Sus scrofa: one gene and its partner. The protein of the gene in region 1 interacts with the protein of each later gene in a biochemical or structural test. Links are inferred from orthologs where the notes say so. Each region holds a gene or a part of one and is shown in the gene's direction. Other genes may lie near its edges. The genes, in order: TLK1 and ASF1A.

Region 1 (4,368 bases):
GAACGAAATAGAGTATATCATACAATGGAATACTCAGCAATAAAAAGAAATGAACTATTGATAAATACAACAATGTTGATGAATCTCAAAATAATTATATTGAGTAAAAAGAAGCCAATTATATTGAGTAAAAAGAAGCCAGAAGAGTACAAACCATACAATTCCATTTATTTAAAATTCTGGAAAATGCAAACTAAGTGATAGAAAGCAGATCTGTGATGACTTGGGGAGAAGTGGAGTGGAAGAGGAACCATAAAGGAGTAGAGAAAATTTTGGAGGTTGATGGATATATTCACTATCTTGATTGTAGAAATGGTTTCAGGGTTGTGTACACACCAAAACTTAGCTAGTTGTAGACTTAAAATATGTGCAGTTTATTGTATGTTACTTATACCTCACTAAAGTTGCTTAATTTGTGAGATGTACTTCTTAACTTTGAAAAACAGTACATGACTAAAAACTCACTGAAGAACCTGAAGCATAAGAAAACTAAAATTACTTCTGGAGATAACTGACAACCATGGTTCTATTCTAGTATGATAGTTTATCTGAACAAAACATTACTAGGAGAAATGCAAAGTCATAAAAATAAAAAATAGAAATGACATTTTTGTCCCCCTGGTAATCATGCCATTTCCTCATGCTCATACAGTTGCTTTATATCATAATCTTTTTAGTGTTCTACTCAACTTGGTATTTTTAAAGAGACCAATAACCTTGCTGTATTTTTCCTGAACCATTAGACTGCTCTTTTCTGTATAAGATGCCCAATCTCTGTGTGGGTCTATAGAAAGTTACACTCTATAAATTTTAGCAAATGCTCTAATTTGCTTCGGGAATTTGCAGCGGCACTGGAACTTTCTAGAAAACATAACCTTTCAGAAGATGAACCCTGGATGGTTTCCCTAAATATGTGAATTCAGTGATCAAAATTTTCTATGTAGATTTTCCACCTACTGTTTTTAAACAAAGAACTGCTAGACCACACATACAATGCACAATGCGGATAAAGATTCTTTTTGGAAAACATTCATAAAGTTTTACTTCCATCCCCACCCTAACTTATTTTCTTAGCTCTTTCATTCAGTAATCACTCCCATTCTGCAGACAGGGAAACGCACACAAGTTTTTGGTTTTTTTTTTTTTGTTTGCACGGTACAGAGAGACAAGAAAGAAGCAACTCTCAACTTTTCAGTTCCATTTTGAGAAATGATCACATCGAACTCCTGCGAAACGACAGCCTAGAGAGAGCTGAAGCATTTCTCCCCAGGCTGGGTGTGGGTCTGGAGCCAGGCGCGCTTCCGCGGGAGAGAGGGGCAGTCAGGTGGCAGCGGAGCGGGCGCGGGAACGGTAGCCGGTGCAGCGCGGCGGGGGCGCGTGCGGGGCGCGCCTTCTCCCGGCGGGCGCGGGGAAGCGGCCTCGGCGCACGACAGTCCGCCAGCCCCCGGCTCCCGCGCCTCGTAGTGATCCGCGGGTGCGCCAGGGGCACCCGTCGCCCGCGTCTCCTCCCTCGCTAGCTCGTTCCCTCCCCACTCCCCCCGCCCCCAACCCCTGGCAGGTCCCTCCCCCAAGCCTGCTCCCGCGGCCGCCGCCGCCGCCGCCGCTACCGGAGGCGCGGGAGCCTCGCGATAGTGTTTGCACAGGCGGCGCGTGACGCCGCCGCCGCCTGTAACTGATGCAGAGGTTACCCTGCCGTCTCAGCCGCCACCCATCGCCCGCCGCCGCCGCTGCCGCCGCCACCCGGGCGACGCCGGGGCCGACGCACTGCAGAGGTGCCGGCAGGTTCCGCCCGCGGAAGTCTCGGCCGGCGCAGCCGGCGCTCCGCCCGCGCTCCGACCCCGGCCCAGGCGGGCGCCCCCTCGACGCCTCCGCCGCCTCTGCCGCCGCGCTCGTTCTCTCCGCCTCTTCCCCAGCGCGCCCGCCGGCTCCCTCTCTTCTCCCCCTTTTCCTCCTCCCCGTCCCCTCTCCTCCCCTCACCTCTACCCTCCCCACCTTCTTCCTTCTCGGTTTCCTCCCCCCCATCCCCTTGACTCTCCCCTCCCTGCCCTCGCTCTCTCGCTCGCCCTCTGCGCGGCCCCCGCCATGACGGAGGCGGGTGCCGGTGTGCTGCCGCTGCTGCCGTCGCAGGGGGGGAGTCGGGTTCCCAGAAAGTAGCTTGATGAGTGTCCAAAGTAGCAGTGGAAGTTTGGAGGGGCCGCCATCTTGGTCCCAGCTCTCCACGTCTCCAACCCCGGGCTCGGCGGCGGCGGCCAGGTCCCTGCTGAATCACACGCCGCCATCCGGGAGGCCCAGGGAAGGTAAGTGCCGTCGCGCCCGCGCCCGCTCGCGGGTCTCCCCTCCCGCTCCCGGCCCCCGCGCCCTCAGTTCTCCTTTCCCCGACCCTGGGGTGGGGGATGGGGGCGAGGTGTACGCGGGGCCGCCAGGCTTCGGGGAGATAGTGCTCCGGCTGTGGGTGGTGGTTCGCGGGCGGCGGAGGAAACGGACGTAGGGGGTGCGCGCTGGTGGGGACGGGGCGAGGCGAGGCGCGCAGATTCGCCTGGGTTCCTTAAGAGCCCGTCCTGCTGGGGTGGGCGGTCTCCCCCCGGACGCGAGCCCCTTTCTGCTCCATTTGCTCGCACACTCAGTACTCTTAACCTCCTGGCCTCCGGTCTCTGGTGGGTTTTCCCTCTGGGTGAAGCATTCATCCTCGAGCCCCCTCCCCTTCCCTCCCGCACTCCTCCCCTAGAGGCGGTCCCCGCTCTGCGAGCTTAGCTGCCCGGGACCTGGAGGATGCCCCTTGCTTGCAAGGTCTCTGCCTTTCGGGGAGAGGCGCTGAAATTATTAGAGCCGACTTTGATCCCCTGCCTGGCCCCCGAGAGCAGTTTAAACGACAGACTGATTCGTGGGCAGGCTTTTAAACCCACTCCTCCAGATGGTTGCAACTTTCTCTCCTTCGCCATCACCTCCTGCGTGTTTGTGCATTATTTCTCCAGCGAGTAGGCTACTGTTCTTCTCTGACAGGATCGGGGGGTTTGTGGGAAATATCTGCGTAAAGGTTATTGCAAACACGCACCAGATCGGTTACAATTGTTTTCTAAGTTTTCTGGCTTCTTGCATGCCAGTGTGCCGCCACCAGATGTAGCAGTTACACAGCTAGTAAGACAGCAGAGTGCTTTTGACTAAAATGTCAACTTGCTGTATTTAACTTTAAGTATACCACATAAAATGAAATGTGAAAGAGCACAAACATTTATGACGGAAAAATAAATGTGCGTGGAATCGCATTTAACGCTTTTTTGTTTGTAAAACGCTTAGCGGTATTTATCAGCAATTGGTAAATGAGATGTTCGCTCCCTTAGTGTCACACAGGGAGATTGTAGCCACATTTTCAAAAAAGCGTTTGGAAGTCCGTAGTCCGGTGAATCTTTAAAGATACCAGGGGCTTTAATTTATGTTGGAGTCAGTGGGATTAATTTATTTGAAAATATCTGTCAGTATTTACAACTCAGAGCCTTGACATTTGTTAATCAAGTGTTTTGTGCCTTGAATCCAGTGGTTCAGGCGTAGCATTCTTTGTCATTTTGTTCCTGTGAGCATGTGTGAAAGTGACAATAGGCTCAAAGATTGGCATGAATTTCCTCTAGAAAATTCATGGGAAGCCTTGATTTATGGCATCCATTAAGCCTGCTGAATACATTGACAGACATTTCCCCTTTCCATGTCACCCCCAACCTTGAGTTCTGAATATTAGAAGATAAAAGTTTATTTATTGACTAACTCAAATTTAGTACCCCTAAGTGATTTTTCTTTCTGCCCTTGAAAATTTGTAAATGAATTTTAAAATCTGTTTTGTAAACAGCACTTGGTTCTTTAAGCAAGCTTTTATTTTTGTCTGTACTTTCATTAAGAATCTTAATGATAGTGTTATTATGAGTGGTGGTGTAATGAGTGATACTAAATAATAGTCTTGGAGAGACTTTTTTTAAAAAGACTATGTATCTTTTTTCATTGATTCGTTTCTTGAATAATTATTGAGCCATTTTCTGTGAGCCAGGCGCTGTACTAGATACTGAGGACACAGCGTTGAATTTTTCATCTGTGACGTCTATTGTCAGTATTAGTAATTTTAGAGCTGCACAATCTAGCTTGAGTTTCCAAGGTGACTTCAGCCCTAGTTAAAAACTTCTATACTATTCTACGGTTTTCCTAATGTTTGAAAATTTTGAGGGATTGGAATTATTTCATGTGACCTTCCAAATAACCAGAAGTAGTTTCTAGTAATTTGGATTACAAATAGGTTTTTATGTGACCTAGACAGTGAGCCTCTATTAATGAAATAACAAAGCATGGTCTGTGGACATTACACTTCATGTTCAAGTACCTGTATGG
Region 2 (2,913 bases), on another chromosome or scaffold:
GAGAGGTTATATTTGGAAAAATTTTTCATTTTCCTTGGAAATTTTACTGAAGAAACACAACATCAAGCTAGAAAGCATGTTAATTTGTTAAATAAAGTTTCCTCTGAAGCATTCAAGAGATATGCTTCCTTTTAGGAAACAAGTATAGAGTTGGATGTTATGTTGGATTAAGAAAAAGATCTGGATAATTCCCTCAGGTCCTCCATATCTAGTTTCCTTTAGGCTAGAGTAATTTCCTTGCTGCAGCCCTGGTCCTTATTTATTAGTTATGTTTAAGGTGCTTTGACTTTTGCCTCTGTATGTGAACTTAGTCCTTAGGAGTACTAAATAAAGAACCATTCTTATTAAGGTCTATTTGTATATAGTTATCTAACTTTCTTAGCGTTTACCATTTATATGTTTCCTTCTTCCTGTAGCTTCAAAGGAATATTTTGGCATCAAATCCCCGAGTCACAAGATTCCACATTAACTGGGAAGATAACACAGAGAAACTGGAAGATCCAGAGAGCAGTAATCCAAATCTACAATCACTTCTTTCAACAGATGCATTACCTTCAGCATCAAAGGGATGGTCCACGTCAGAAAACTCACTAAATGTCATGTTAGAATCCCACATGGACTGCATGTGACCACCCGCCATCCCTTTAGTACAAATTAAGCTATTAAAACACACAGAACTATTTCCCTGAAATTCCGTAAGTACATAGTCAAGATACAATGTGAAGAATTTGTTTTAAAACATCCTGTAGAAAGTTTATAAGAAAACCAGTATTTGAGCAAATTGTGGAATATAAATACAACTATTTTTAAGTAATTTTTTTCTCTAATGTGTTATTTTATTTGTTCTGAAACTAATCTGATTAAAACATATATATTATTTTCTTCTCCTCTATATGTAATTAAAGCACTTATAAAGAAAAATGAATCATTAGACCAGGTTGTAGAAATGTCTTAGCCTCTTGGACAATACTCTTTGGACCACTATTTTGCAAACCTCTGAAAGAACAAAGTTCATTTCAGCTAAAATGTGTCTTCCCGTGATAACACATAATTTGGTTTGATTTAAGGGGCAACTTTCCATTCTTTTCTCAGCATGTCCTTAAAGAAGGGATTTGAAGTCAACTGTATGCTACCAAGAACTTTAGGATCTGATTTTCCAGGCCACCTTGAAACCTCTCATGAATACTATTCAGTTCATGTACTGTTAATTGTTTATAAGGTCCCCTGGCTATGATTTTTTGTTGTTGTAACAGTTGAGGACATCAGAACACTCCTTGAATCATACATTGTTATTACCTGTCCAGAGCAGATACAAACTCCCTAAGTTTTAAGAATAGAAGAGTATAATGACTTGATCCTATTCATTAGATTTATAAAAATACTATGAACTTAACTCTTTAAAACTGTTTTGATAGGTCATCTGTTGTTGGCACTATTTATATAAAAAACAGTGGATTTGGAAAGATCTATGAAGCTTTATGATAATAGATACATTACTATTTTGGAACTATATGTATTTTCACAGGTAGTACTTGTCTCCACATCCCCCGACACTCATGCACAGTAAGATTAGGCATCTTTGTGGTTGACATAGTCTAGGTAGCTTTTCCAGATAAGTCTCTTAAAAGCAAGGAGTGCATTAACTAAATGGGCCAAAAGGTTCTTTTTCTCTGATGAGAGCTAGGTCCTTCCTCAAAGTTTCTTAGGCTCCATTAAATTAAGTATAGAATATTCTCATTATTTTTGCTGCTGAGCAACAGCCATATGATGCAGAGTTATGCAGTGCCTTCATATCTAAAACTTTTATACTGCACTTTTTAAAGCTTTTATTTTGAGGAAGGGAAAGGGGCATTTGTCTGAATATGGATTCTAAGTTGTATATATTTCCTGTCATTCTAAAAAGTGACTTTGTGAAGCAAAATTTTGCTAAATGTTAAACTTTGAAAAATTTAATATGCCAGATTAAAATATTGTCCACTAACTAGTTCACAGACTTTAAAAGTAAAAATACATCCGACTGTTAAAACAATATAAAGAAAATTTCATTTTTGTCTAATTGCAATTAAAAGAAAATGTTTACATATTAAAATGAAAATAAAAGTAATATTTCCAACCAAGAGCTTAGTGATTAATATAACAGGAACACAATATGTGCTTATTAGAAATAAAGCATATATAAGCCAAATTACCAAGTCAATTCATTGCTGAGTTTTTATTCTTATTAATTATGATTGGTTTGTATTAGCATCAGAGTGTTAGGTTTTTAATCAATTTGTAAATTGACAGCCAATTTTCACATATGTTTAAGACTTAAAAATGAGTATCTCATTTAAAATTTTCATGGTTCTATAAGGTAATTTTAATAATTAAAATGTAAAGATTTAGTATTTAAACATTAGGAAGGAAGAAACTAACATACAGATTTTATTTTTCCTGTTTAGCCTCATTTATAGATGCTGTCTGAATTATAGCTAGAAAGTTTAGAACCGTTTTTCCCTTTTTGAACATACTTAATAGCTGTGAGAAGATAAACATGAACAAATTACTTATGCCACAAGAGAGACAGGCATAGGTGAGAGGGAATGAGAATATCACTCAGCTGAGAAAACAATCAGAAGTCTGAGAAAAACTCATTCATTCATTCATAACCTTATATAACCTTATGTGTCCATGTGGTCTTACCCTCAGGTTTTAAGATTTGGAGTTTCTAGTTTTACCAAGAGGGTGTTTGTCAGGAGTTTTCAAAACTTTTTACTGCAATTCATGGTTAAAAAAAAAATTAAAGTATGACCTCATAACACAATTATGTATTTATATTAACAACTTTCATGAAAATGTACCCTTATAGTCACTTTACTGTGTGCCATATATTCTAATATCTTTTACTACATTTTGTTTTGAAAATGCTAGCTT

What was found.
Region 2: of the proteins of TLK1 (region 1) and ASF1A, one has a biochemical effect on the other in vitro, tested with the Homo sapiens proteins (3 studies listed by BioGRID). The link is inferred for Sus scrofa from reciprocal best matches to the Homo sapiens genes TLK1 and ASF1A.

Annotation. Positions count from the first base shown.
Region 1 is NC_010457.5:77,326,741-77,331,108, reverse strand, and holds the start of TLK1 (serine/threonine-protein kinase tousled-like 1), read left to right. Parts: upstream 1-1,560; 5' UTR 1,561-2,158; coding exon 2,159-2,297; intron 2,298-4,368. UniProt on the Homo sapiens protein: Rapidly and transiently inhibited by phosphorylation following the generation of DNA double-stranded breaks during S-phase. This is cell cycle checkpoint and ATM-pathway dependent and appears to regulate processes involved in chromatin assembly.
Region 2 is NC_010443.5:43,199,614-43,202,526, reverse strand, and holds the end of ASF1A (histone chaperone ASF1A), read left to right. Parts: intron 1-416; coding exon 417-629; 3' UTR 630-2,188; downstream 2,189-2,913. UniProt on the Homo sapiens protein: Histone chaperone that facilitates histone deposition and histone exchange and removal during nucleosome assembly and disassembly.